Linked DNA regions of Rhinolophus ferrumequinum. The protein of the gene in region 2 purifies or fractionates together with the protein of the main gene of each other region. This does not show direct contact. Links are inferred from orthologs where the notes say so. Each region holds a gene or a part of one and is shown on either strand. Other genes may lie near its edges. The genes, in order: ATXN2L, G3BP1, MKI67 and PABPC4.

Evidence for each region.
Region 1: the proteins of G3BP1 (region 2) and ATXN2L purify together in Homo sapiens (affinity purification with mass spectrometry; 4 studies listed by BioGRID and IntAct, with this or other methods). This does not show direct contact. The link is inferred for Rhinolophus ferrumequinum from reciprocal best matches to the Homo sapiens genes G3BP1 and ATXN2L.
Region 3: the proteins of G3BP1 (region 2) and MKI67 purify together in Homo sapiens (affinity purification with mass spectrometry; 3 studies listed by BioGRID and IntAct, with this or other methods). This does not show direct contact. The link is inferred for Rhinolophus ferrumequinum from reciprocal best matches to the Homo sapiens genes G3BP1 and MKI67.
Region 4: the proteins of G3BP1 (region 2) and PABPC4 purify together in Homo sapiens (affinity purification with mass spectrometry; 4 studies listed by BioGRID and IntAct, with this or other methods). This does not show direct contact. The link is inferred for Rhinolophus ferrumequinum from reciprocal best matches to the Homo sapiens genes G3BP1 and PABPC4.

Annotation. Positions count from the first base shown.
Region 1 is NW_022680357.1:1,217,381-1,224,508, forward strand, and holds the start of ATXN2L (ataxin-2-like protein), read left to right. Parts: upstream 1-4,128; coding exon 4,129-4,430; intron 4,431-4,778; exon of another isoform or gene 4,779-4,934; intron 4,935-5,034; exon of another isoform or gene 5,035-5,174; intron 5,175-5,288; exon of another isoform or gene 5,289-5,418; intron 5,419-5,437; exon of another isoform or gene 5,438-5,534; intron 5,535-5,631; exon of another isoform or gene 5,632-5,798; intron 5,799-5,945; coding exon 5,946-5,982; intron 5,983-6,184; coding exon 6,185-6,241; intron 6,242-6,327; coding exon 6,328-6,399; intron 6,400-6,796; coding exon 6,797-6,947; intron 6,948-7,128. UniProt on the Homo sapiens protein: Involved in the regulation of stress granule and P-body formation.
Region 2 is NC_046307.1:23,502,117-23,509,254, reverse strand, and holds the start of G3BP1 (ras GTPase-activating protein-binding protein 1), read right to left. Parts: upstream 3,003-7,138; 5' UTR 2,961-3,002; coding exon 2,859-2,960; intron 1-2,858. UniProt on the Homo sapiens protein: Protein involved in various processes, such as stress granule formation and innate immunity. Plays an essential role in stress granule formation.
Region 3 is NC_046299.1:3,639,239-3,646,649, reverse strand, and holds the start of MKI67 (proliferation marker protein Ki-67), read right to left. Parts: upstream 3,007-7,411; 5' UTR 2,888-3,006; intron 2,497-2,887; 5' UTR 2,394-2,496; coding exon 2,302-2,393; intron 1-2,301. UniProt on the Homo sapiens protein: Protein that associates with the surface of mitotic chromosomes and acts both as a chromosome repellent during early mitosis and chromosome attractant during late mitosis.
Region 4 is NC_046292.1:27,731,778-27,739,062, reverse strand, and holds the start of PABPC4 (polyadenylate-binding protein 4), read left to right. Parts: upstream 1-4,282; 5' UTR 4,283-4,799; coding exon 4,800-4,992; intron 4,993-7,285.

The DNA.
Region 1 (7,128 bases), on a different chromosome or scaffold from region 2:
AAAGACAGGAATCTGGCCTATGCAGACATCAGATGGCTGTTGGACTGTGGACAGTTGTAAACTTAATCAGTTGGCCACTCCAATGGTAGCTGCTGTCTCAGAAGCAGTATCCTTACTGGAACAAATCAGGATGGCCCCTGGTATGACGGAAAGGCTTATTAAAGACTCAATTATGGTATCCCTTGGGAGACCACACCCTGAAAGGATGGAGTTCTGTTTTATAGGATGCGGTATATACTTTAGTCAGAGACCAGTATTGTATGGTGCCGTCTCCCCTACACATGGGTCTGAGAATCAAGGGGTGAAATGGACCTTGTTCTTCTCACGATTATTCTTAATAACCCATTTGTAGAATTTTTGCTTCTCATCTTGGCAACTTTGAGCTCTGCTGAGTATATATTTGGACTATTTAATAGTAGGTTGCATATATCATGTTCCTTTGAACATAAATATATATTATATATATTCAGTAAGAATATACTCTTACATATTTACGGAGTTATCACACTCAGGAAATTTATCGAGGATGTAATACTTTATAGTCTGTATTCCAAATTCATCCATTTTCCCCATAATGTCTTTTATAGAAATTTTTTTTCTGGATCTAGGCCAGGATCAAATATTTCATTTAGTTGTTAGTCACTTTAGCCTCCTTTTTAATATGGAACAGTTCCCCAACCTTTCTTTGGCTGTGATGCCAGGGACATTTTTGAGGAATATAGTCATTATTTCTCCTGTATGTTTCTTCTTTTAATGTGTATATGCATATACATTTGTGGCTATTACCGGTATGGGCGCATGGGTTCTTCTGTTATTTAATGAGTTATAACCTGTTACTTGTGCCAGATTTGGCCTCTTCAAGCTGGCTTCTGTCTCTTTGATACGCTTGTAATTTTTTTTAGTACTTACGTCGTATTTTCTGGCTTGACAAAATGTTCCAAGCTCATCTGGTGCCTTCCTTGCTCCTGCCCAGGCTGGAGTCAGCCATTTCTTCAAGGAGCCCTGGGTCCTTTCTATGGAATGGTATTTAGAAAGCAAGATCTGGGCATTAGATGTGTGTAAATCAATCTATCTTGTCTATGCCTCTTGTTTTTTCTATAAATTCTATACTGATACTTCCCATTGCAAGCCTTACAAAGTTTTTGTTCCCTTCTCTCATTCCATATATGCTTCTCCCTACTTCCCTAGTGAGAATCCTGGCTCCCAACATCTACATATTTTGTCATGTGCTCAATCCACAATACACTCAATAGCTTCAGAATGTTCATGGTCTTGCCCTACGGCAAAATTACTAAGAAGAATTCAAGAGTTATATGCTGTGTTTTTTCTTTAGACAGAGGGTGCTTGAAAGTTACTTGAATGAGCCCTATTTTTTTCCTTTTTAGTGTTATTTTTATTCATTGAAAATAGAGTTGGGCTCATTTATTTATATCTATACTCAGACTTTAGATTCCGTCCATCTCTCTTGATTAAATTTCTTGAATACGTTGACCATTAACACGCTTTGAAAAGTCAAAACTGTATTGGAAGGTATACGTAAGGAAGCTGTATTCCTTCAAGAACATAACCCAGCAACCAAAGGTCCCTCATCTTTCCTACCCCTCATAGGTAACCGATTTTATTAGTTTTTGGTTTATCCCTCTTGAGTTTTTCTTTGCAAAAATGTGTAGATACATTTGTTTTATTTCCCCTTCTTCCTTGCACAAAATGTAGCATAGTTTATATTCTTTTGAACTTGGCTTTCTTCACCTAACAAGATAGCCTGGAAATCACTCCATCTTAAATCAGTGATATAATTTCTAAATTGCATATAAGACATGGTTTTCATTTACCAACTGAGTGACTGTGTGTCCAGCCATGGAGCTAGATATGGATAGAGAAATGACTAAAATACAGTCCCTTCATGACCTTAGACTCCCGTGGAAAGGAGAGCCACATAAACAAAACCATCACAGTGCTCTGAGGAGGGAGTCGGTAACAGGATGTTCGACTGCCAGCTGAGTTGAAGAATGAGAAAGTAGGTGAAGAAACAGCACGTGTACAGGCAGAGTTGGGTACGGGTCAGACAAGTTGTGGAAATGGAAGTTTAGCGGGGCTAAACCGAATTCCAGTGTGGGAAGCAGGATGTGGATGGGGGATACCTGAGTGCCCGTAACGAGGGTGGAGAGGTGGCATGGCACCAGCTGGTGCAGGGCATGACAGGAAAAAGCTGGATTGTGTTATTGAGCCATCCAGGAGACATGGTCCTTAAAAAATCACTCGGAGCCATTCTGTTCACAAGGCCTTAATTTACTGCCTGCTTTGTGCTACCGTAGGTCCTGCAGGAACAGTGAGTAGGAGTAAGATCCCGACCCTTCGGGTGCTGACACTAGTAGGAAGACAGAATTCAAGGAGCTCTTGGATAAAGGGGGGGAAATTCTTGGACAAGCACACAGGAAGGGAGGGAACCTCACACACTTGAAGCTAGGAGTGAGGCAGGGGTGAAGGAATACTTCCCAAAGAGTAAGGCAGACTTTCACCTACGGGCTTGCAGGTGAGGGCTCAGGAAGTTTCCACGCTAACGCCTGGAGCGAAGTGAGACCGATATTGCAAGTTTCGCTGGGATTAAGACCACAGACCCATCACTGCTTCACTCCATTCTCCCGGTAGCACAGTAGTCCTTTAAAAATACAAGTCTGATCTCTTCATCTTCTGTTAAAAGGCTCCCCACTGCTTTGAGGATAAGGTTCCTCTCCTAAAAATCTGATCCCAGGTTACTTACCTCTCCGGTTTCATTTTTTAAAACCTCCCTCTTTAATTTTATTCTCCAGCCATGCTCAAGTTTTCTTGTCACATCCCATTCCCCCTTGCCTAGAAATCCATCACCCAATCCGGGGTCACTCCTATCTGCTTTCTTAGTGCCCTGTGCTTCACCTAATACCGGGTTTCCCCAAAAATAAGACCTACCGGGACAGTCAGCTCTAATGCGTCTTTTGGAGCAAAAGTTAATAAAATACCGGATCTTATATGTTTTGCTCCAAAAGACGCATTGAGCAGAGTGTCTGGCTAGGTCTTATTTTCGGGGGAACACGGTATTATAGATCTCACCTAATTGTCTGAATCTACCACCAGCTTGAACTCCCTGAGGGCGGCAAAGGGTTTAATTACAGTTGTATCAAGAGCATCTAGCCATTTTAAATGAATGAAGGCTGCCTTCACTGCAGTTGGGTGGAGCATTTTGTACTTTGGCCTTCCTTTCATTACTCCGGTTTAAGGGTTCATTCTAGGGCATGGAGAAACCATGTAGGTTTGAAAACCACTGAAGTTTAAAATACACCGCCGGGCTCAACCTGGCAACTGTAATGCCCGCCAGTCTTTTCTTTAAAGCAGATAAGGTCGGGAGTAGCTCCTCCTGAAACCTGCCAGCAGCCTGTCTAGTCCCGGGATTTTTTTTTTTTGCACTTTGACTCCGCCCAAGGGCCCCCAAGTGGCGGAAGAACTGCACGTTACGTCGTGCGCATCTCCCACGGCTGCGGAGGCATCCCAGCGCTGCGCCGGCGGAGGGGGCGGGGCGGCCGGCTCTTCCTCGGCTGCCTCGGCTCCTCCCCTAGCGTTTCACACGCTCATTGTGAAGCGACAGCGGCTGGCAGCGTTGGGGGCTGTTAGACACCCAGAGACCTTAAATTCTCGGCGCGCGTGGGCGCCGCGCTGCTCCTTCCCCATTCCAAAGGCTAGGGGCGCGAGGTTCACTTTCTTTCTTCTCTCCTTCCCCGCCGGCGCTAACCGCCCCGGTGCGCGCGGACCCCGCGCCGCCGCTCCCTCCCCGCCCCTCCCCCTTCGGGAGCTCCCGCCCGCGCGCTCCTCCCTCTCCCCCCCTTCCCCCGGCGACGCGCACGCGCGCCAGGCCGGCTCGCGCCCTCTCGCTTTCCTCTGGCCCGCGAGACCCCCTCCCCTTCCGCCTCGCGGCGCTTTCTCGCGCCACGGTCTTCTCTATCCAACCCCGACCCCGCGGGGCTCCCCGCCCGCCCGCCCGCCAACGGCGGGTCCCTTGCTTCCCAATTCCCCTCGCTTCCTGCGCTCTCCGGTGGGGGCCTAGCCCCGGCCTCTCTCCCTTCCTTCCCCCTAATTCCCCTTCCGGACGCTGCCATCATGTTGAAGCCTCAGCCGCCACAACAGACCTCCCAGCCCCAGCAGCCGCCCCCCACGCAACAGGCCGTGGCCCGCCGGCCTCCTGGGGGCACCAGCCCTCCCAACGGCGGCCTCCCGGCGCCCCTGGCCTCCACCTCGGCTCCCCCAGGGCCTCCCGCGGCCACTTCCCCCTGCCTGGGGCCTGCAGCCGCTGCCGGGAGCGGGCTCCGCCGGGGACCCGAGGGCATCTTGGCGCCCCAGCCGCCGCCACCGCAGCAGCAACATCAGGAGAGGCCAGGGGCAGCGGCCATCGGCAGCGCCAGGTGAGAAGGGGTGGCGCGGGGTGGTTTTCCGGGCGCTGGAGCCCAGGCTACAGGCAGCGGCGGCTCGGTTCCGGCCCGGCGGCCTCCTAGCCTGGCCACCTTTGAGGGGCGCCAGGGGGCGTGGGCCACCCCCCCTGAGCTGGGAATGGGCCCCCGCAGGTCCTAACAGGTCGGAGGAAAAGGGTCCCCCGGCAGCTGCCGGGACACTCGGGGGCCATGCTCAGCTCTCAGAGCCTGGTCGGGTCTCGCGGCCCGGGCTTTAGGGGAAGGCAGGGCGCCTCCCGGCAGCGCCGTCGGAGCCCGGAGTTGGGGGGTGAAGAGGTGATCTGGGGTCCCCGGCTCCATTACCAAGGAGGGTCTCGCGGTCCCCGGCTTCAGCCAATGGGGAGTCAGCTGCGGGAAGGGGTCCCCGGCCGTAGCCAATGGAGGGGGGCGCGCGGCCCACAGTTTGGCCAATGGGGAGGGAGGGACTTGGGAGCGTGTGGCCGCCTCCTCCTCCCCGGTCTGGCCAGTAGGAGGGGAGCGGGGTGGGCGGGGGGACGGAAGGAGAGACCACTGGGAGGTCTGCGGGCCGGGAGCCTCCGGCGCGCGCGCGCGCTCTTTACGTACGTGCGCGTGGATGCTCTGTCTTATGACCCAGGCATTCGGGAGTCCAGGGTAACATGCAGGGCAGTGGCCGGGAGGGTGCGCGAAGGGGCTTCGGGATGGAGGGGTGGACACGCCACTCGGTTTCTTCGGAGTATGGGTTAATGGAATGGAGCGTGGCGGAACACGCAGGCGCAGTGGGTTCGGATCGCGGGAGGGGGTTTTGAAGAGGCCCGTGGGCTTTAGTGCGCAGGCGCAGACCGGGCGAGGCCTCCGGTGGATGGCTCTTGCGGCTGCGCTGTCCCCCAGCCCCGCCAACGGCCCCCTCATCACCCTCCTCCGCCGCCGGTTACATCAGCCAGCGAGGAGCGGGCTTAGCAGGCGATCGAGGACCCCTCCCACAGTGGGTACCGCGCCGAAGGAGGCCGGAGGTCGAGAGGGTGGGCTGTGGAGGGAGTCCCCTCCTCCCAGGATCGGAGCGTCAGGCTGCTGACAATGATTGTCTTTTCGGTTTGGGAGGTAACGTGCCTGAGCCAGGGACTTCCGCGTCTGCACTCCCTGAGCTTCCATTTTTATGTCGGAGGTGGGTTTTTGGTTGTCGAATGCTGGAGCGTTGGTGTGTTGGAAGCGTGCAGCCCAGGCCCCTTGGAGAAAGCGAGGCAGTGGTGTAGGATGTACTGTTAAAAGCAATTGACAACAGGGGTCGATTGCGATGTGTTTTCCCGGCGTTTGGAGGCAATGTGTTTACTGGCTATACTGCCCAGGCCTTTCTTCCTCTATAAGGTGAGAGTTTGAAAGTTACGTTGACTCACTGTAGCCTAGATCCGCATCTTCACGTGGTCTGTGGTTCTGGGATACCAAGTCCTTTGAAATCAGTCGTGTCAGGCATTGAACAGATTTAAATTAGTTTCTTGTTTCCTTCTCTCACAGGGGACAAAGCACAGGAAAGGGACCCCCACAGTCACCGGTGAGTGCCTCTGCCCACCCCAAGACTTAAAAGACACCTAGGTGGGAATATAGGACCGATTAGTTGTAGATATGGTCAGGTGGGCTCAGAAGAGCAGGGGTCTCAGCACATAGTACTTCGGTGGGGGGGTGGAGTGTGGATATTTAGAAGGAAGGTGAGGTGTTGTCTGGCTCTTTATTTGTTCCTCCTGTGTTACTGACAGGTGTTTGAGGGTGTCTACAACAATTCCAGAATGCTGCACTTCCTTACAGCTGTGGTGGTAAGTGGGAGCCTAACCCCTGGGTGGTTGGAGGAGAGTGATTCCTCTGTTTGCTGGAGACGTTTTTATTTTTCCCACTGTCCCAGGGCTCCACCTGTGATGTAAAGGTGAAGAATGGCACCACCTATGAAGGTATTTTCAAGACTCTGAGCTCAAAGGTCAGTGTACTCAAATTAGCTTAGTTTTCGAGTGCGTGCAAGGAGGAGGAGAATGAAAAAAGTTCATTGAAGGTGTGCATTGAGTGGTGGTGGACCGCAGTGTGGCTGTCACTCATTTCTGTAGACCTGTGTGCTAGAGTCGTGCTGCGAGCAGTGAAAGACGTGCGTCTGAAATTTGAGGGTTGGATGCTTTCATGTTAAAACGCTTAAATCTTAAAACGTAAGTTTCTAAGTTTGGGGCTTTTGCGACGTCTTATGGCTGATGTTGAGAAGACATCACACATGAGAGTGTGATGCTGGGAAAAGTTTAGAAAGGGTAGGAGAAAAATAGTCATGTGTGTTGCCTTCGTGTTTCGTGATACTGACCCTTGGGTGTTGGAAAATGGGACATTTTTAGTTTGAACTAGCCGTGGATGCTGTGCACCGGAAAGCGTCTGAGCCAGCAGGTGGCCCTCGTCGCGAAGACATTGTGGACACCATGGTCTTTAAGCCGAGTGACGTCATGCTCGTCCACTTCCGAAATGTGGACTTCAATTACGCCACGAAAGGTATTGTGCCAGGCTGGTAGGTCCCGAGTGGGGCTGCAGAGGGCAGTTCCATCACCCTCAGCACCACCCGCTTTACCACCTTTTTTCCTGAGGAAGATGGGTGGATTTTTCTTCTTTAGAGTGTCTTGAGGTCTAAGATCAAGTGGAATGAATTTGGTCTATGTTGTGGTTCTTCGTATTT
Region 2 (7,138 bases):
ATCCCTACAAAACAGAAGTGTGTCCCAACCAGAAAGCCAGTTTTCTTCCTCTGAACCATCTCTAACATTTACTTTTTACTAAATACCTGAAATATAGCACACAAGCTAACACCTAAGCAATATTATAAAATATGACGCGTGGGCCGTGGACAGAAGAGGAAATCCATCCCATGTAGTCACCTAAAGACCTTATTTACTAAGGCCACAGCCTATGAGAGATATTTATTATCTACTTTCTACTTTATAAAGCCCATTCTTCACCATCTCTCACCTGGCTTCCAATTTAGCTTTCCCAACCAAGGTGAGGCAGGGTGTCCAAGAGTACTTAAAAATAAAAAATTTTTTTGAGTAAACAGAAAGCTGATTGAGATGTAAAACCATAAATCTAGTTAACTGTTACAGTGTGAACAGCAACCACAAGTGAGATTACAGTTGCTGAATCTAAATTTAACTCCATGGCTGGAAGGACAGTGTTGCTTTGCACTAAAGGTTTTGCCACTAGATGTTAACAACTGACTAGCCAGAGGGTGGGAAAAAAAGCAGTTTTTTTAACCTACCTACTTTGACAATTATCTCCCTCAGTAAAGTCAACAAGTTTTGTCCAAAGCATTATGTTCAATTAAATGAATATACAATGCATATTTACATTCTGAAATGTTATTTTTTAAAAACCAGTCTAACTGCAAAATGTTGAAGATCACATGGGTAATTTTATTAAACTGGCAAAAAAAAATTAAAAACTGGTTTAGATCACAAATTCTGGCTTTGTATTAAATTTCATCATTTAATTAAACATTGCCCCATCCATCCTCCTAAGAACCACATAAAATTCACAAACCTATAATAATTTAAAACTAATCTCTGCCTTTTACTTTCTATGCAAAGCCCTAAAACAAGTAAAAAAAAAATGTAAATTACAAAAAACTGCTGCAAAGTAGGTCACCAACAAACATTACCAATCTCCTGATGTTCCCTAGCAGACTGTCAGCTGAGAACAGCAAAGTGAATGTGAGTTAAATAAAGAACAAAGAACTGCCTACTTTTCTACCAGTTGGAAGAGGTACAAAAGCTTAGATTGAAAGGATTTAACAACAAAAGTAACCTCTAACTTGGCTGGGGAGCAGGGAGGCACCCAAGTCTTTTATTATCACAATTTGCTTCAATTCATTTGTTCTTAATAAATGAAAGCACAAGAAGAGATCAGCTGGGCTACCAATTTGTGAACTACCAGTTTTCATATTCCTGTTCAATTGATAACCATGTATTTGCTTGAGGCCAAGAACAGTTTTTGGGTTTTTGGGTTTTTTTAAGAAACATTTGAAAGGCAAAATAAAAATTTCCCACAATTAATGCACAAGATAATTTCAGTGATACATTTTACCTCAAGCAGTAATAAAATTAGCTGGACTCAAAGTTAAGAGTTTCAATGTAATCATTATGTTTTCACATTTGATAACTAAAAATTCTAATTCGATAGATAAGGGGTGTCTAAGTGCAGGTAACTGAAATTGCTACAGGAAGGCAAGTTCAAGTGAAACAATGTTATATTCTTACAGCATTGTCACCTATTATAGGTAAAGAACTTGTCTATACAATATTTCAATCCTTTCTTGTTACTTTCTGTTAAACATGGAAACTATTAAGTAAATGGAAACACATATTAAGGTTCCTCAGTTTTTAAATTTTGTGTTCTCTGACTGTAAATCAAGAGCTATCCGAAAAAGCGTTTGTACAAACAAAACAGATGCCTTTTTTTAAAAGGTGGAAAGCCATTCCAATCAAAATTAATTCAGAAGAGTTTGTCCCAAAACTTTCATTGTAGTTTTATCTCAAGTAGAGACATGTGTCACGTCAAGTAATGACCTGGGCCTGCAACACGGCAACATTTTTTGTTCTTTCATTAAGCCAAAGAGTATACTGGCTTTTAAAAATCTAAAACGTAACTCTACTAGAAAAAGATAAACCCAAGTCTTTGGAGGTGTCTTCCACGTTTCCATACACTCATACACAGGAGCCTAGGAGTAAATAAATGCTAGATAAATGAACTGAACGTAGACAGGCATTCATCCACAGACCAACCCCACTGCCAGAAAGGTAAGATTCCCAACACATCTCCATCACCCACCTGTAATTCACCTCCCATAAGCTCCGCTCTATACTGTAACTGAGCACTAGCCTTTCCATTCCAATTTCAAACATTAACCTACACACGCTGCTGAGATCTGAAACGCATTGCTCTGAAACCTCATTTTCTTCAACTACAAAACAAGGAAGTTAAACTAGGTTCTCCAAGGGCTTTCTCAAAAGTCGGCTCCGATGGAAAAACGAAGACAACTGATTCAAGGTCTAGTACCAGCAGCGCCTAACTTCCTGCTGGTGGGAATTTCCCATCAGCGTGCTGTGAGTCGCACATCGGACGAGGAACACTGCCCGTGTTCACTGGCACTTATTCCTTTTATTCTGTCCTTTATCCAGAAGCTTCTAGGGCAGCACATCCGTCAGCTAGCTACGCGAAGACACGTACAAAGGAAGCCCAAACCATTTCTTTTCCTTTGTCTTAATCGCACGTCCAACTCGTCTCCCTGGAAGCCCATGAACTGGCTCAAGTACAAATGCCACTGCAGTCTTCGCAGCAGTTGGCCTTTAGAGGCTGATGTTGTCCCCTGGGACGAGTACTCTGGGGGCCAAAGTGCCCTAGGGCCGCACAGGGCGCTGGAACAAAGACTAAAATAGGCTCGGGGACTAGGAGTCAGGTGGCCTGGGTTAAAACAAATACCTGCCCCTTACCGTCCGTCTGCCTGTGACCATGTCACTCCACCTCTGGGCCTCTGAGTCCGCTGTAAACTGAGGGAACCTACCTTGCAGGGTCGTCGTGGGAGTAAATGAGAGGCACACAAGTTGCCCAGCACAATGCCTGGCACACAATAAGGGCTTCGAAAAATGTGAGTTATTATCATCATTCATTACCCATGCACTCGCTGCACCCCCTTTCACTGCCTGCAAAACCCTGGAACCACACTTCTACTTCCCCGGTCGAAAATTCTTATCGCACTTTCGTGTGGCCCCCTCCCCCCCCCATAAAAACCTTCTTTCGTCCGGGTCAAGCTAAAGCTCCACGCCGGGGAGGAAAAACTCAACTGGCCCGTGGGTGGGGGAGCGAGCGGGAAAGGCTGGCCAACCGGCCGCGCGGGGCCCCAGGCCCCCGAGATCGCCCTGGGGCCCGGGGCGGCGGCCGCAGCTCGCTCTCGCCCCACGTGGCCGTTGGGCGCGGCACGCGCACGCGGCGGACACGGCCACGCGCGCCCGCCGGGGGGCGGAGAGCCTCCGCGCGCCCGTGCGGCCGCCTGCGTCCGTTGGGGGGGGAGGGCGAGGGCGCGCCTCGCGCGAGCGCCGCTCGGACCTCTCCCTCTCACAACAGCCCCAGCTCGTCCTCGACCCAGGGCCGCCCCGCCCCGCCCACACCCCGGCGTACCTGCGCGGCTGAGCCGGGGAGGAACAAGCTTTGCTCCACAGAACGACACAAGGCAAAAGCCCCTCACGCAACTGCGTCCGCACACACGCGTGCTCCGTCGCCGGTCTATATATATGCCATTCAGCCTAACTTGTTGCGGCCAGGTCGGGCAGGCTGATGACCAATCCCGACTGCGTCCTCTGGGCTCCTCGAGCAGCAATTGGGCACTGACTCAGGATGAAGGCGTGGCTCTTGATTGGCTTTGACTCATGCCTATGAGACTATGAGGATCTCGTTTCCCTAGTAACAGATTGGCACAGAGAGAGACCAATTACTTCAAGGTACAGTGGAAAAGGGGGTGGGAAGTTCTTTAACTGATACCCAGAGTAGCCAATAAATGCATGGGGCCGCTCCTATTCGTTTAAACGTCTTCCCCTGGGCGGAGATCCGTTTTCCAATGCAGGAGCGGTTGCTCCACAAGGTGGGGCCCGTGTACTTTGGGGAAGTAAACCCCAAGCAGCTAGGAGGTGGGCGCCAGGGAGGCCAAGGAGGCCCCCGACCAATCGCAACGCGAGAAGGAGCTGATTGACGCGAGGGTTGGACTGCACCAAGGAGACGGAGCCCCAGGGCCGCGGTGCCCTCTGGTGCGGGTCTGAGGCTCTCCTGGTCCCCGCTCTCCTCTTGGCGTTCCCTCGCTGGTTGGGTTCGGCCGCTGAGGCCTCTGTCCCGCCTTTTCTGCACAGTTTGATACGAGGGAAACCAAGTGGTAAAGTTTCCCGTTGTTTGTTTGTTTCTGCTAACTTTATTTCCATGCTTAAGGGCATTTGCTGGCTCTCACCGTTAGTCAGCACTATCGTTGGGCAACTGTTAAGGGAAAGCCAAAGGAGAAAGTAACTCCTGTTGTGTTCCTAAGATCTTGTAAAAAGTAGCACGTGAAACTGTTGAGTTGGAGAACACAAATTTCTGCCCTGCGGTTCTGGGCAAATGCTGCTGCTGCAGGTCGACCGGAAGGTTGGCTGGTGGATGTTCACTGAGGTTTTCCCTTTTAGTTTTTGCCGAGGGACAGTAGTTTGTAAGTTGTCCTATCAGTTTGGGCCTCGATGCAACATCCTGTGCGTCACCACCATTGTCATTCAGTTTTCTAATCGCTGTGGGCGTGGAGGCTTATTTCTTGAAGTTGTTCCCATCTTTAAAAGGTAACTTGTCAAACTCCTATAGGGACACCCTGAAGATTTCCCGAAACAGTTCGGGGGCTGAGTGACGCTCCAGCCTGGTCCTGTCCACGTCTCACTCAGTGTTTTCTTGGGCCCTCTGTTGGTCACCATGAGCATTTTATATGGAAATACATAGACACGCCTCGGTCAGTTCTTATTCTAGGAATGTGACCCTGCGGGAGGGGTTCCCGTTAAGTTTTGCTGAGAAATTTGGAAATGAAGCACGTGGAGCGTCTTTGTAGGGAAAGAAGGGGTGTGGGCAGCCGCCTGGTGGCATCTGGGCTCATCCCTATTCTCCTCGTTGGCCCCGGAAACGCGGGGAAAGCGTCCCTCTACCCGCCCGTCCTCCCCGGACCCCACTCCCGCAGCGGCCGCGCTCTTTCAGCATTTATTGAGATCCAAGGGCTGCGATCAGGGGTGAGCAAGACGCTGTCCCTGCTCGCTGTCACCCATTCAACAGACCGGGCGCTGCGCTGGGCCGGTAGCTCCCAAAACCGGGGAACAGGTGTGTGGGACTGAACACACCGGAGAGAACTCAGTCCAGACCAGGAAGCTGCAAAAGGTTTTCTGAAGGAAGGAAACTTAAGGATCGTGTTAGCCATGCTAAGGAACTTGAACTTTATTCTCAGAGCAGTGGAAAAAAGCTCCTGAAAGGTCTCTTAAAGATGGACTAAGAAATTTGCATTTTACAAGATGACTCTCCAAATTGAAACGCTAATCAGAGCAGATTGGAGAAACTTTAAATTCACAGATTAGTAATTTAACCCAGGTGGCCTGCGGTGGGGGAGGGGTCAAAGCTATTCTTAATTACATTTGGAGGAAATTGTAAGTGATTACAGCTTTTTGTAAGGCTATTTGGCAGTCTATTAAAATTATGTATGTCCTATTTCTTGGTTGATAGCCACATTTTTTTTACAAAGAGGCATGTACCAGGGCGTTCATTACAGTACTGTCAGCTTTGTTAGAATATTTAAATACTGAAAACGTTAATTGCTCATCAATTTGCAAACTGATTAACTGGTGATATGCACGTAATACAGAACACTATGCAGCAGTTGAAAAAAGAATGAGGTACAAACTATACAGATTGTTAACTGGATTGTTAATTGACAAAAAATCAAGTTCAACAAAACATACAGTGAATTCCCATTCATATTAGTAAAAACGAAACCAAAAAAACAAAACTGATTTCTGCATGTTAAAATAGGTATCTAAGTGCAGAGGAAGGGTTTTAAATTTAAAACAATAGTCATTCCTCCTAGGGAATCCCCTAGGTTGGGAGCAATGAGAATAATGTATTATTTGAAAGTTTTACAACGAGACTGTGTTCGCCGGGTAATGGGAGGTAGAAAGAAAGGAGGGAAGGAAAGAGGAATGAATTACCAGAGGGAGAATGTGAACAAGATCCTTCAGGTGGCTGTTGCTGTCTCCACAGGACAGAGAAGTTGGCATCTTCCTGTGGTCGTTTACCCACTCAGATCATAAACCCTCAGGACCCAGACGCTGGATATTTAGTAAATGTTCAGTGAGTAATTTACCACCAGTGAATTGTCTGGAGCACTTGCTTTCTCAAGGGAGATTTTGCCCCCAAGAGACATATATGTGGCCTTGTCACAAGTGGGTAAGAGGGGCTGCTAGCATCTAGTGGACACTGGCCAGGGATGCAGCTGAGATCCCCCCTCCCCATGACAAAGGATTATCTGGCTAAAAAGTCAATAGGGCAGGGGCTGAGAAAGCCGGGTCTAGTTATCTTAGCATCTAAGGGAGAGTCCCAGCCTCCTACTGGTCTTTCTCTCCACTGCCAAGCAAAATGTGCGAACCCCTTCAGTACACTACTTCACCCTCTCTTTCTGCCAATTCTCCCCAAAGCTCTGAGAATCAGGGTGGGAAGAAACCTGGGTAAGACTCCAGAAATACAGTTTGGTGGGGGGCAATGGAAGGGTGGTAGAAATGTTTGGTAAGGAATGATCCTAAGGATAGCATCTGGATCAGTGTTTCCCACACATAGCTAATCACTCATGAAGGGTGATTAAAAACCTGTGCCTGTATGTATGCGTATCTTGACCTGTTAAACTCCCACCTGTGACAAAGACCTAGTACAATAATATTCATTGCAGTACGGCTTGTAGTAGAAAGAGACAGGAAATAACCCAGCTGTCAAACTATATGGGACTGGTTAAAAACAATACAGTGGACTGTCAGAGAAAATGAGGCTGATCTATGTGTATGGTTATAGAGTGATCTCCAAGAGGTACCAATATATAAAGAAAGCAAAGTGCAGAATAATGGAAACAGTTAAAAAGGGAGGAGGGACGCCATGGGTGATTATTTCTATAAAGATATATTGTGTTGCTATAGCTATCTATATACATTCCTATATGGTTTTGGTGTACTTGCACAGATTATATCTGGAAGGAGTCACATGCAACTGCCAATTGCTAACAGGGACGTGAACTTGAGCCAGGGTAGGAGA
Region 3 (7,411 bases), on a different chromosome or scaffold from region 2:
ATAACAAAAGATAAATACAAGTTATGTGTATACGTGTTTTTTGGCACCCCCAATGTAAGAGTGTTTTACGTCAGTTTGGAGAATGAGAACTACTTTTAATACTCATGCTTTTTCTTCTATAAAAAGGTTTGTGTACATTCATTTGTAATGTACACAAATGCATATTTGAAGGTTTACTCATCACCAAAAGTGCTGTACTTTATGCCAGAACTGCTCTGTGCCTCAGTTTCTTCATATACAAAGAGAATTACATTGGCACCTATATCATGGTATTCTTCAAATGACTAAATGACTTGTGCACGTCTGTCATTTGCCTGGCCCACAGTAAAATGTCATTACTTGTGAGCTGTTTATTGTGGCTTTTAAAACTACACTCTATTAACTGACAGATTCCCCAGTTTCTTATCACTAAAAATACTAATCTGCAAGCAACAATAAAACATTCTCTAGATTCAACTTGTCTTTTCACAAAAAGCTAACCTCAGCAGGAAGCACTGGGAGGGAGACTTCCCAAACCCACAGAAACTCGCCAGAGGTCCTTAGTGCAGCTCCGGTATTCCCATTACCACCAGGTGCTTTTATAAGTTTAAACAAGTATATACTCTTCTCTCTTGTCAGTATGAACCTCTAGAGTCTATGATGTCTTCCTTCCCATGTCCAATGACCAAACATGAATTACAAAATCTCGCACAAAAATATAGTTAATCAATCACTGTTGTATAATAGTCAGAATTACAGCCATTTGATACCAAAATGTTACACACACACACACCGCAACAAAAAAATGTATCCACATTTCAGAGTGTTCAAAATTGTAACAATATATAGTAACGTTTGATTTCTGCAATTACAAGAGGTGCTCAAAGTGGTTACCATCAGCGTCCAGACACTTGTGATTGCGGCGAACTACTGCTACATAGATAACATCTCTTAAAATGTATATACATGTTTTTGGCACCTTCTGTATATTTCTTTAGAAAGAAGCTACCGGTAAGGGAACAGCTACTTTAAATCAAAGAAGAGAATTTGGTTTTTAGGTATCAGAATATTCCACCAAGTGAAAGAGAGAGATTATCTCCTGAGAACTGAGAACGTATTGGGCAGGAGACTGCCCACTGGGATCACTACAGATGTGTGTACGGCGGTTCCTGACCGTGGTGCTGTTGATAGTTCAGGTCAGATAATTCTTTACAGTGGGGGTTGCCCTGTCCATTGTAGGACATGTAGCAGCATCCCTGACCTTGGCTCGCTGATGCCAGCGGCATAAGCCTCCCACATGGAGACATGGAAAAATGTCTCCTGGGGGGCAAGTTGGCCCTCACTTGACATACACTGCCAGTCTGTCCATTCTCCGGCCACAGTTCCCCTGGACACTTACGGGGGTGCTGAGCACTGATCACCTCTTACATGCCGCACCCCACACCAGCCACGGGGGACATAATCATTAACCACACAGTCCTGTCGTTGGGGCTTAATAGTGGGAAGACAAACCAGACTCATCACCATGTGTGGCGTTAGGAAAGACAATGACGATGTCCATTCAAGGCTCCTTTTCAGGTCACGTTGAAACTGACATCTAAAAGCTGGAAAGGAATCACTCACATAGGAGGATAGAGAACATTCCAGTCCTAAAGCTCAAACTGGCTAAAAGCACCAAAGTGAGCAAGAGTGTGGAATGTCTGAGCTGGGGTGGAACATAGCAGCACAGGGTCGGGGTGGCACCACAGGTCTCCACAGGGAAGGTGACCTATCTATCAGTGTCTGTTTAAGGACAGTGTTAGAAAATGAGAAGGGGTGCAATTAGTAACGTGGCCTGTTCCAGGGGAACCACACTTATGAAGACAGGAGAGAAGTTCTCAAAACACTAGGAGGACTTTCCCTTCCATGTTCATTTTTCCCCAAACACCAGCAAGCCATGTAGGAGCCTCCTTCCTCCATTTGCTCAAGTGTCCCCCAGTAACCAATGAATGCCACATTCGGAGGGATTTCAGATAAACACAGTTGTTTTCTAAAGACTGCCGGAAGTGAATCAGGACTTGAGAATCATCTCTGTTTTTCTCCATTCATAGATGTTTATCAAATCAATTTTAACATTTGATTAGAAACCAGTTAATATATGAACATTGTTTTCAAAATTCTTTTCGTAATAAGCCATCACTTCAAGTTGACAACACATAGGAAAATCCATAGCAAATGTGAGGGCAGGAACTACTCCCAGAGCCCTGTTTCCAGTCTGTTAATCTGTGATCAGGAAATTCAGGTCTTTCAAGCTAAATGGTACACGCAGGGCGCAGGGCTCACCTTCCAAACAAGCAGGTGCTGAGACTCAGAGGAAAGTGGGGGCCGTCGACCCCGCTCCTTTTGATGGTAACAAGGTGTCCGGTAGGACCCATTTTCTAACCAAGAATTTGAGTGCAATCCGTATAGGAAAGTCAGGCATCAAAAGGTTTGCTGAAGCAAACTTACAAGCAACTCTTCCACTGCAGGAATAGGTCACTGAATAAAACAACAAAAATAGAACACGGGGGAGGAGGGTGTTACTCTGAAAACGGAGCTAAGTAAGAAGTCACTTGTAAGTGACCAACTGGGATTGCTTGTACAATTCCCCCAAGCCCTGCCACCCCGGCCCACACCTTATCTGACAACTGTAGGAGCCCCAGCCGGGCCCTGGGCTGTCCCCCAGGACGCCCTCCAGCACCCAGCACCCCGAAAGACCCGCGATCAGGACGCCGCCCACCAGGGTCTTGTCTCCTGGGAGTTCCCACCGAGACCACGAGCCCGAGCCCAGAACGAGCCGGGTCCAGGACGCGCTCCCGGCGCGGGTTCCCGCACAGCCTGGAGAGCTCTCCGCGGCTCCTGTCCGCTCCCCCGTGGTGCCACGACTCACCCAGGACGACTCGCCCTCACTGCCACCAGTGGGTCCACCGCTCGTCCAGGCGCAACCAAGTCCACACGGTGAGTAGCCCTCAAAGTGTTCACTTGAAATCCACCTCCCGCCCCGCGCTGCCGGGTCCGGGACTCAGCCCGCGGGCCCGTGCCCACCTCTGCCGCGGCCGCAGTCCCCGCTCCCCCCGCCGTCACCCTCGCCGGCGACCGGGTGTCCCTGCCAGCTACGTCCCCGAGGTGCCCGGCGTTGGCGGCGCGGGCGCGGAAAGCCGCCCGCTGCTGTTCGCCCGATTCAAATGAAAACAGCGATTCAAATTTGGCGCAAAGCACTGCGATTGGACGCGGCGGCGCGGGGGCAGACCAATGGGGAGGGGCAAGGCCGGGGCCGGGGCGGGGCTAGAGGGGAGTGGCGGGCTCCGCCGGGAGGGGCAGCGGCCGCCGGCTGGCGGGGCGCCCGCGGAAGACGCCTTCCCCGGGTTCTCAGCAGGGACTGCACCAAACAGGCGGAAACGGAACGTGGCCCCGCCGCCGCCAAACCTCTCTAGCCTCCTCTTTTTTAAGGACCAAATGCAATTGTACAATTAACAATTGTACACAACAGGTTACTCATTGCTGGAAGGGTTAAAATTTTTTAGTTTCTGTATCTCCCCAAAGATAACCCGTAATTATAAGCGATTTCCGTGTCTTTTCCCAGTTGTACATGTATTATTTTCTTTCAAAACACACTGAAAAGACCATAATAGACACACTGTTTTACATTTGTGTTCTCTGCCTCCCAGACCTGGAGGCTCTTAGATGTGTGACCTGGAGGCACACATCTTCCCCGTTTACTTTCTTTCTGAGGCTGCCGAGCATCCCGCTTTAGCAGCTATATTTGACCTAACCACTCCTATCGCTATTCGTTTAGGTTTACAGAGTTTTCCTATTAGGAAAAAAAAATCTCCAATTTAAAAACCTTGCGCACGACAGAACGGACGCATTCTGAAATAACCACAGGATTTTCCCTGGAGCCACTTGCCTGGTGGGGGCGGGGAGGCTTCTGTGTGTCAGCGTTTCAACGTGGTGTGACTGAATGGGTCCCAAACGTGCCCTGTCTGCCAGTCATCGCCCGCCTCCCGCTCCACCCGCACCCCTTGCAGCGTGGCTCCCCTGGATTAGGATTCGCACCCGATGGTCTGGGGACACCTGAAAGTGTCTGAGATCATTGTAGGGGGTCCCTGAGGTGAAAACCCTGTGTGTGGTAACGCCAGACGTTCTTCTTCGCCCCTGTGCTCATTTCCTCCTGAGTGGAAGGCGGCGTTTCCCAAAGGCAGACGCAGAAGGGAGACTCCAGCTGTCTTCTACTGAATCTGGTATTACAGAGAACTGCAAAAATATAAACTAATGCTGCTCTTTCCAGTAATTTTTGTTTTCAGATAACGTAGGTATATTTCATTAAAACATGTTTTTTTATGTTAACATGAAATGAGTTCATTGTAAAATAAATTGACAGATGAAGTTTTTAAAATTACTCAGTTAATAACCTACAAAAATCTCTTAGTGGTCTTCAGTAATTTTGAAGAGCATAAAGGGACCCTGGGACCAAAAAGTTTGAGCCTTTCTGCTCGTGAGCGACAACTTAGGGACTGCCTCCGGGAATACGGAACAGCTGGGAACACGACGTGAATGTACACCTCCAACTCTCTCTGTGACAAGGCAGGTGTGGGTAATTTAAGTGCCTGGCTCCCATTAACCTTCTGTGGGGACAGAGCCCCAGAGCGCAGTCTCCAGGCTCTCGGCCTCACGTGGGGGGGTGCTGACTCGGGTAGTAGATGGCCATCGGTTGTGGCTAGTTGGCCTTCAGCTGTAGCCAGTTAGACAATTGGCCCCTGACACAGCTGCCGCGGCTGTGCTGGTTGGGGCGTCAGGAGAGTTGAGGGAAGTCAGAGAGTCGGTGGGTTGGCAGAAAAGCGGATAGCAGCAGGTCGCACGCCCTGTGAATCCAGCCTCCAGTGAGACTATTGTGGTGTGACTCCCTACCCATGGCTCCGTGGGTGTTCCTTTTGGCCTCACCATATCCTGTGTTCTTGTGTGGGGAGTGGGAGCTGAGACCCCGCATGACACCCTGCACGGCACCTTCTCAGGGGATTAGTTTCCGTGTCCTCCCCCTTCACTCCATCAAAGAAAGCTCATCTCTGAACAACCCCATAAAACGCTACTTTTGTCACTCTAATTACCGCTTGTTATCAGAGACGGTTCTGTGACCCACCCTCCAGCAGCCTAATTAAAAGTAGGAGGTGCCAGGCTTCCTGTCAGATAATCTCACAAACACTGTGCCACACACACGTTCAGCTCTCTAGAGAGGGCAGGAAATTAGAGGGGTTGTTTGAGTGACGGGGTTAGGTCTGCGGCACAGCCCTCTTTAAACTGTTTGATGACACACTTTAGCAGGGGTGTTTCTGTTGGGTTAGAAGCATGGCCCACAGCCCAAGACTTCCTTAAAGCACAGATCTCGTTCCGGTGAGGAGAATCCCACGTACCACATGCGGGGGTGGCATTGGACCCCAAGCTCCTCTCCAGCACTGTGGGAGTCTTGAATACGGCGACGGACAGGGACCTTGCACTTAGAGTACCGCTGATCCGGAGGACGGGAAACGGCTTTCCGCGGCGTGCGGGGGTGATGGTGTCCGCCGACCCGGGGAGTTTTCCAGGAATCAATGTCCAGATCCTCACAGCCCACGCTCACTCACGCCTGCAGTCAATCAGCCAGAGAAAGTGTGCCAGGGCAGTCCGCTTCCCCTGCCCCTTCCCGCGCCTTCCCCCTGCTCCTTGCCTCTCGCCTCCTGACACTTAGGATGGAAATTGCCCCAGGCAACCGATGAGGCACCGTTCAACAATTCCGGTAAACTCCGGGCCCATCCATCCACCGGACGAGACGGTGTATTTCCAATAAATTGAGTGTATGTGTAATCAGTATCACATTGGAATGTTGTTCGGTCATCTGTGTCCCAGTAAATCTTATACTGTCACCTCTGCCACCTGGTCAGCGGGTGGTGGAGAGAGGGGCCGCGGAGGGCGGCGCAGGGCGGGGAGGGTCGCGCCCCTCCACAAGTGCGGTCAATAATCTGGGAAGGGCCTCACGGGCGAGGGGGCAGGTGCTCCCGATCCACCCGACGGCTCAGTTCCAGCCGGGCGCCCCGGACCTGGGACCCTCGGGCGGCTGCAGGTAGGGGTAGCGGCGCCAACCAGCGGAGCCCCCAGACTCCCAACTACACTTCCCCTCTCTTGTCTCTTAATAACCCCCCTCCGCCCGCCAGTCTTCCCATCAGGGGAGACAAGAGCCTTAAAGCGGGGCTCAGGGGACGGGAAAAGTGGCCCAGGGGTGGGGTTGGGGTCCTTCCGAAATGGATCTGGTGAGCTCTTTCCTCCCGGAAGACAGCCATGTCGCTGAGAACCCGGGACCCCTACGTACACATCCCGTGGCTGACAGCTACCAGGCCCCCTGCCAGGCGATTACCCCGATCCAGAGTCACCACCAGCCCAGACGTGGACTTGCTTCCTGGGGCCCAAGCCCGGGTGGGACCTGCCTCCGCTCCTGGTCTCCGTTGAGCTGGGTGCCAGCGGTCTTTCTCCCAGATCACTCAGCCCTCCCCCGCACTGGACGCCGTCTCCTCCGACCATTCCCTATTGCCAGCATTGCACAGGTGGGGTGAACAGGGGTCGGTAGGGTTGCCCCTCCCTGGCTTCCCAGCCTCTGTCCCCACTTGGTTTCCTTGGCCTTTCTGCCTGGCCTGTCGGGGAGGGGCCTGTATCAAAGGCAGCTTCTCCCAAGGACACTTGGGATGCGCTTATTCCCCTGCTTCAAATTCTATCAGCCCTTCCCTATTCCCTAAGTCCCCACTCTGAGGAGGATGTGACGCAACTCTGCTGAGCTCAGGGACGCCACCTCAGGAGCCTCTGTAGGGCAATCACCACAGACAGAGTGAGCCGCCGCAAATTCACTCCGGATCACGTGACTTCCTCCCTTACAATATACCCTTCAGAGGCTGCCGATTACTTTCAGAGGACAACCCAACTCTGCCAGGAGCTCTGAGGCCCTATGTGGCCTTCTTGACCGCTCAGTCCGCTCCTGGCTCTCCGGCCACCTGAGCTCCTCCCTCCTGCAAGTGCTCAGCCCCTTCTAGCCTCAGCCCCTTCTCACCCGGAACTCTTCACCTGAGGGCGGAGAGAAGCTCAGCTTTGCAGACCAGAGGAACCACCCCGGGAGTTTCGGAACCGGCCCGGACATACCCTGACCAGTGAAGACGGGCTCCGGCCAAGGGGCTTTCTACATCAACCCTGCAGTGCCCACGACCCGATTTAGCCTGAAGAAAAGAAGTCGGAACTAAACATGGCATCAAAAACCATGAATGAAATTTTGAAAAATTCGTTTTTAGTTTAAGAAGCTCACGCTGTATTATTTTCATCATAGAATATTTGGGAAATATACAAATGTAGGAACAAGAGTCACCTGAAGACGTACAACAAACATAATTGTGTTTTTGTC
Region 4 (7,285 bases), on a different chromosome or scaffold from region 2:
TGGTCTATTGACCTATTCCTGATAAGATACTGGGAAAAGTTTTCTGCCAAGAAAGCAAAGTTTTTGTGTTTTATCAAAATAACTTGCTGTAACTAAAATTGAACACGGCACCTTGAGCTGAGCTGCCACTGAGATCCCGGATGGCTCAGGTGGTTGGAGCGTGTCCTCTCAACCACAAGGTTGCCGGTTCGACTCCCACAAGGGATGGTGGGCTGTGCCCCCTGCAACTAGCAACGGCAACTGGACCTGGAGCTGAGCTGCGCCCTCCACAACTAAGACCGTAAGGACAACAACTTGAAGCTGAACGGCACCCTCCACAACTAAGATTGAAAGGACAACAACTTGACTTGGAAGAAAGTCCTGGAAGTACACACTGTTCCCCAATAAAGTCCTGTTCCCCTTTCCCAATAAAATAATAATAAAAAAATAATTTGCTGTATTTCATGTTGTCTTAATCTGATCTTCGACTACTTAAGAAAACCAAATCTTCTCAATAGTAAGAGCTAACCTTCTGTATTTAAAATTCCCTAGCTGACCTTCATGAAAAGGGGCAATAAAATCTATATAGATTGTGGCACATGTGGATGAAGTCTATTCTACTTCTGCAAAAATGACCCCTCAGTGACAGACTTTTGCCATCTCGATGCCCATGTACTTTGACAACAGTCTGCTCCTGAATCAGAGAAACTAAGATGGGCACACAATGGCTGTAAGTTAAATGAATAGTCAGGGCAGTGGGAGACCCAGAACGGCTGCTTGGTTCTTCCAGGCTCCCTGGCAAACCCCTTTTTTGTTTTTTTCCATCCATCGTAGTGCATTTAAACTGGACTTCACTCAACTGCCATTTAAGTTTGGGTTATCAATACGTTATTCTTGTTGTGTATATGTTTTCCAGATGCACTAAAGGTTTCCCCTGCCACACGGCTGGAGTTCTCACAGTGGCAAAGAAACTGTTAGAAAAGGTGTTTCCCTCTCAGGGTATAGCTTCCACAGTCTCTAGGGATCAAGGCACCCACTTCACTGAGCAAATCATACAAGCCTTGACAGAAAGCCTTGCAAACTTCTTGGAATTATCACTGACCCTATCACCCTCAATCATCAGGCAAGGTCCAGAAAACTAATGGACCAATTGGATTCAAGCAGGACAGGTCTTAATTACATGGAATTGAATGAACTGATGAGGATGATTACAATTTTTATGACTTTTTGTTTGAAACATTGCTGGCATTTAAAATTTTTTTGTTCTTTCAGATATAAGGAAACCTTTCCTCTTAAACTATTACTTACAGTAATTTGGTGAGTTATACCTTGGTAAGCAGAATTGAAACATTTACTTTTTTCTCCCTGCTTGATCCCTCCAGAATTCAGAAAGCTTCAGTGAGTATTCTTATTTTCATGGCAGTATTATTTGTATAAATTCAATACAAATTTGTTCTCCTTGTAACAAGACACAATCGGAAACCGGATAGATTACCAAAGCTTTGGCAGAAATGTTGTATTTGGGAGTGACATGCATAGATTCAGATATTACCAAACAGCTTGAAGGATTGAAGATTCACTTATGGAAGCCAATAAAACCCTCAGAAATACCAGCTGGCCTGGTATCTTGCTTATAGGGTTCCCAGTACCTTACTGGAAGATGTAGGAACCTCAAGATATTTTGAGAACCTTGAGAAGAGAGGAATTAACCCAAATCTAAAAGTATTGCTGGTGAAGACTAATGACAAGTCCTTGGCTTGGCTTTTCTGGCCTTGAGAATATTTTTAAAGTTCAAGCTGTAGAATCTTTATGAAAAATTCTAGCAAAGCAGGTTTAAAAGCCTTTACGATCAACTGCTATTCTTGTATTTATACAAATAACAGGCCAAGTTTATTGAAACTAGACTTATTTTGCAAACAAATTAGTCTTAATTTGAATATCTTTGATCAAAATAGGGGTGATTTTAGAGAGAAAAGTTATGTTTCAGTAATACATCTTTGTGAATATTAGATACTAGTGCTGTTTGTTGTCTTCTGAGGTTTTTGTTTTTCTACCTGCACTGGATGCTGAATTCTTCTAGTTTCCTCAAATATCTGGCTATGACTCTGCAAACTAATGTTTCCGATTTTTCTGCCACCCTTCTAACTTGAAATCATTGGGAACTAAAACTGCCGTTTTCCCAAAGCCATGTAAGCTAAAGTTGGACAACTTGATATAAAATTCAGAAAAATCACCACAATAGCTCATATATGGACAATCTTCATGCCTGTTACAGAAAGATCACCCTAGACATTCAAATTGTAGATCAGGAAAATCTATCAGATTATCACTGCTTGCCCTCACTCCATCTGAAGATGCTTTGAGCCAGACATCTAGAAATCTTGACTGGCTGCCTGGAGCACTCAGGAACCGGGATTATAGTCTGTTCCAAGCATTAACCATTGTTTTTCTTTTGTTTACATAGAGATGCCTCTTATTAAATACTTGATTGCTATTGCCATAGGCCTAGTTTTGGCAGCACACCTGCATCACTGCCTCCGGAAATGAGACACAACTGTTTAACTGAACTAACCTATTCTCAAGACTGAGACTGGTTTAGTGAGACATGGAACAATCTATCAAACCCAATTTCTGGAATGTGAAACTTATCAGGAAATTTCAAAGGCAGGACTAAAGTTGTTCAGAATAGGCTTCTCTAAGATATGCCACCGTGACATGTGAACTATTTTGAACTGAAGGCAATTGAGAACCTGCGGGTTCATGAGAAACTTTTACCCCCTTTCCTTAAAGAATTTAAATTGGGGGTCTTGCCCATAATAAGAGTTATTACCAGAAATAACTTTTTACGACCTATCTATAGGGTAGGCAAACATCTAATTACTGCACATCTGTTCTTTTTATTGTCCTGCGAATGACCCTCTTCCCCTCTGAAGCCCCAAGGCACTTTACCTCATCCTTAGCTCAGAATGTCATGTATACCTCATTTTAACTTTGTCTCTGAACCTCTCATGTATGTTGGGGGGGGGGTGTCTGATTCTCCATGTATGTGAGGTTTCTATACATACAGATATAATTAAGTATATTTATTTCCTTTTGTAAATCTGTCTCATGTCAATTTAATTATTAGACTAGCTGAAATAAAGTTTCTTTCTCCCCCGCAGAGCCTAGACACTAACTCCCTTTTACAAAGAAATAGAAAGTATTTTTGCACCCTTAAATGTCAACTAAATTTCCAGAAACACCACTGCCATCTAAATAGAGGGATGATTGTATTTTGTTTTATGAAGCTTTACCAAACTTTGTTCATCTTTCCAGAAAATCCCATCAGCCATGGATACTATTGCATTTGTAGTTGTCTTACCTCTTGGTTCCAGTACCCTGAAAACTTCAGAATGTCTTCTCCTTTTTTGGGGCCCAAACATTTACATATTGGAACATCTATTACTGTGTTTCCCCGAAAATAAGACCAGGTCTTATGTTAATTTTTGCTCCAAAAGACGCATTAGGGCTTATGTTCAGGGAATGTCATCCTGAAAAATCATGCTAGGGCTGATTTTCCGGTTAGGTCTTATTTTCGGGGAAACACGGTATATAATTATAATTTATTTTGTCATCTTTATTTTACAATTAAGGAACACATTGTTTATGAACATTATGCGTGCTGGTGGGTTAAACTGTCTACAGGTTCTATTCCCAGAGGGGCGGGAGGTTTACAACCTAGTGTGGCCAGCTGCCCTTGGGTCTGGCACAGGCCCCGAGCGGTCCTCCGCGCACCAGGGGTCGCTGTAGCGCAGCGTGGCCACACCGGGTCTCTCTCATGTGGCCGCCCCGCCTCGGGCCTCCGGGCCGAGTGGGCGGGCACATCTGCGCCCAGGTCGCCAGGCGCCCTTCGACCAGCAGCGCCCGGGGCGGGCGGGTATAAATGGAGCGGTGGCTCCCCCAGCCGCCTCTCTCCGCCCCGGGTCGCCGCAGCTTCGGCCGCTTTCGGGCTCAGCAGCCTGAAGAAAAAAAGAGAAAAAGATTAAAAAAAAACCCGAAAACGCTTTAAAATCTGAAAAAAAAAGAGAAAGCGAATCCTTCTCGGAGAACCCGCGGGGAAGTCACTTTTGCACGCTTCCGGCCTACCCGCGTCCGCCGCCCCCACCGCCACACCTGGCTGTCCGTCCGTCCGGTGGTGAGCCGCCCGCGTCCACGCGCCTCTGCTCCAGCCGCCGGTCCGCGCCGCGTGGCAGCCCCGCGCCCCCGCCCCCAGCGCGCCGGCCTCCCCGTGCACCACGTGTCCGCGCTGCCCTTCGCGGCCCGGCGTGGAGGCGGCTGCGCGCTCAGCCCCCGGGGCTCGCCGAGTCGGCACCGACAAATATTTTGTTTCCCTCGTCCCTTGGCTGCTGTAATCTTAAACCGCCAGGAGCCCGAGGCCTATATTTATAGAGAAACGCGTGTCCCGGAGGCCGCGTGGGCACCGTTTGGTTGCCTCTTGAAGAATTTTTATAATTTGGAGGGGAGTCCCCATTTAAAAAATTTTTTTTTTTTTTGTGGAAATTTGGAGCCTCAGACCAGGACAGCTGAAAATCACAAACTCCCCGGGAGGGCCATATTGTTTTTGAGAACCTTTTGTCTGCGGTCTTGCAGTCTCGAACGAGCCGCCCCTGAACTCCTCGGCCCGCTCCTCTGTCTCTGAGCCTCCTCCAGCTTCTCTCAGCTTCACTCTGCCACCTGTGAGCCGCGGCGCGGGCCCCGGCTCCAAGAAGAGCCCCTTTTGTCCTGTGTGGTCCTTATAAGAAGTCCTCCTGGCGGGGCTCGGGGTGGTGGGGGCTGGGGAAATGAACGCTGCAGCCAGCAGCTACCCCATGGCCTCCCTGTACGTGGGTGACCTGCACTCGGACGTCACCGAGGCCATGCTGTATGAAAAGTTCAGTCCTGCGGGGCCTGTGCTGTCCATCCGGGTCTGCCGCGATATGATCACCCGCCGCTCCCTGGGTTATGCCTACGTCAACTTCCAGCAGCCAGCTGACGGTGAGTAGAAGCCTTGTCTGCAGATTCACAGGATCCCACGGGGCCTCAGGAGTCATCCTCTAGGCAGGTCCCTACCCTCGTGGAAGGGGCAGCACGACAGCACGTTGCCACAGAAGCCGTAGTGGGGAATAGGATGCAGGAGTGGAGAACACGGGATCCTGGCATCAGATGACCAGTTTCAGCCTTCTACCACTTGCTAACTGGGTGACCTTGGGCTAATCAGTGGTGGCAGTGGGGTTGGAATCCAAGGAGACTGGAAAAACGGCTTCAGAGGGAAGTCACTGTCGTTCCATGGTGTGTGTGACCCTGCTTCAGTGGAGCTGGGCTGTTGGAGACCCTCGGCTGGTCAGTGGGCATGGACTCATGTCCCACACAGGCCTGCCAGAAAGGCAGGGCGGTGGAAACAATAACTGCAAAGATTTTAGGTTGCAGAACTGCTGCCCCCTCCCCTGCCTTTACCCTGGACTAAGAGTCCGTTTGATTTTGTGCTGATAAGGTATCTTTCAGTGAGGTAGGAAGCAGGGGAGCAATTCTATGCATTAAACTTCAGCAGGCATTTGTGTTAGCACAAGAGGAGCATGTGCCAGAGCAGCTCCCAGGTCTGGGTGTTTGCCACTTGGGTAGGAGTTCTTCACTCTGGACGAAGCCTTCAGCTGTGGAGAATGGTCTCTGGGTAGCCTGGGGAACCGAGGCTTGGAAATCCACTGGGCTGGTAGGGATTATTGCCTCACCTGTGAACAGTGCTTTCTACTAGTCAGAACACTTTTACGTCATCCCATCTGAAGAGGATAGGACTCTTAAGAAGGAAAAGGAACTGCAGCAGGTTGGAGGCTAAGCTGGGACTGCCTGTGCAGTGCTCCAGGAGCCCAGATTAGGCCTTCGCTTGGCGTGGCGAGGTATGCCGCAGGCATGGCAGGGGTGAGGCCAGAGGAAACCTAATCGGGCTGCACGTGACTCCAGATTAAAAAGGAACAACTGTAGAGATCACTACGAGAAACAAGCCATTCTGTGGCAAAGGATCTCCAGGTCCCTATTTTTGTCCCTACTTTGTTCACCACGAAGCACAGAATGTCACTTGCCCAGGATGCAGCTGAGACCAGAGGATTGGACTTGTTGAGAGACATGAGGTACTGCTCCCATTTAGTGTGCTCTGAGCTGACTTGTATCTGGCCACAGGGTACGAAGAAGGTAGCTGAGTGTAGCCTTTTTCAGGGGGAGTAGCCTGCCTTGACTCTTCTGAACAAAAGTCTTGTCACTTAGCAATAATAGCAGGAGCCATTGGTCAGTGTGTCTGCCAACACATACCTCTGCAGGACCTCTCCCTGCTATAAATAAGTGCCGCCGGATTTGTCAGACTAAGCCGACTTGCCTTCTGCAGCACTGTCTGGAAATAGAAGAGGAGATGTGTTGGAAAGGGTTCCTTTGCTACTAATTAATGAAACACTGTTTGGGGTCCAAGGCTTTCGATCTCAACTGGCCATTACAAGCAAACTCTTCTGTGCCTGGACTTTTCCTGACTTCCTCCCCTCCCACACTGAGGAACCCACCTGAGGAAGGTGGGAAAGGTGGTTGGAACCGAGTGAAGAGGGGATACTCCCTTGGCTGACTGGGCAGCTAAGCTTGTGGAGGGGCAGTTTTGTCCCTAAGTGGGGTGGTGCCTTGAAGCAGGGACCCCCCCCCCCATCATCCCTTCGTTGAGGACATTCTGGGAGATACATTGCATAAGTCAGGGAAAGTGAACACCAGCTCCGGGTCCTTGTTACTACCAGTGAAGAGAAGTATTCCTGCCGGCAGGTGATGATATATTTTATTTTATTTTTTTCCTTTTTTAATATTTTTTGACAGGGGAGGGATATTGGGGAACAGTGCACTTCTCCAGGGCGCAGCTCAGTTCCAAGTCCATTTGCCGTTCTCAATCTTAGTTGCAGGGGGCGCAGCCCACCATCCTATGCGGGAAGTGAACCAGCAACCTTGTTAAGAGCTTGCACGCGCTCTAACCAGCTGAGCCATCCGGTCGGTGATGATATATTTTAGCTTCTCGTCCTTTAAATGGTCTCTATGGTGCACACATGGATTTGGTTGGGGAGCTAAGGAACCAAGGCCCTGGATGGAGAACTTGGTTGGGCACCACAGTATTTGAAGTCCTGGAATTCTATAGAACTCAGATTAAGGGTTCAGAAGGCCTGGAAACCACCAGGTTCAGGGCCTACCTGCACTACTTAGGCAGAAGGCTGTTGCAGTTTTTTCCTTGTCTGTTAATTCAAAGAACATTTCCATGTGTGACCATTAGTAT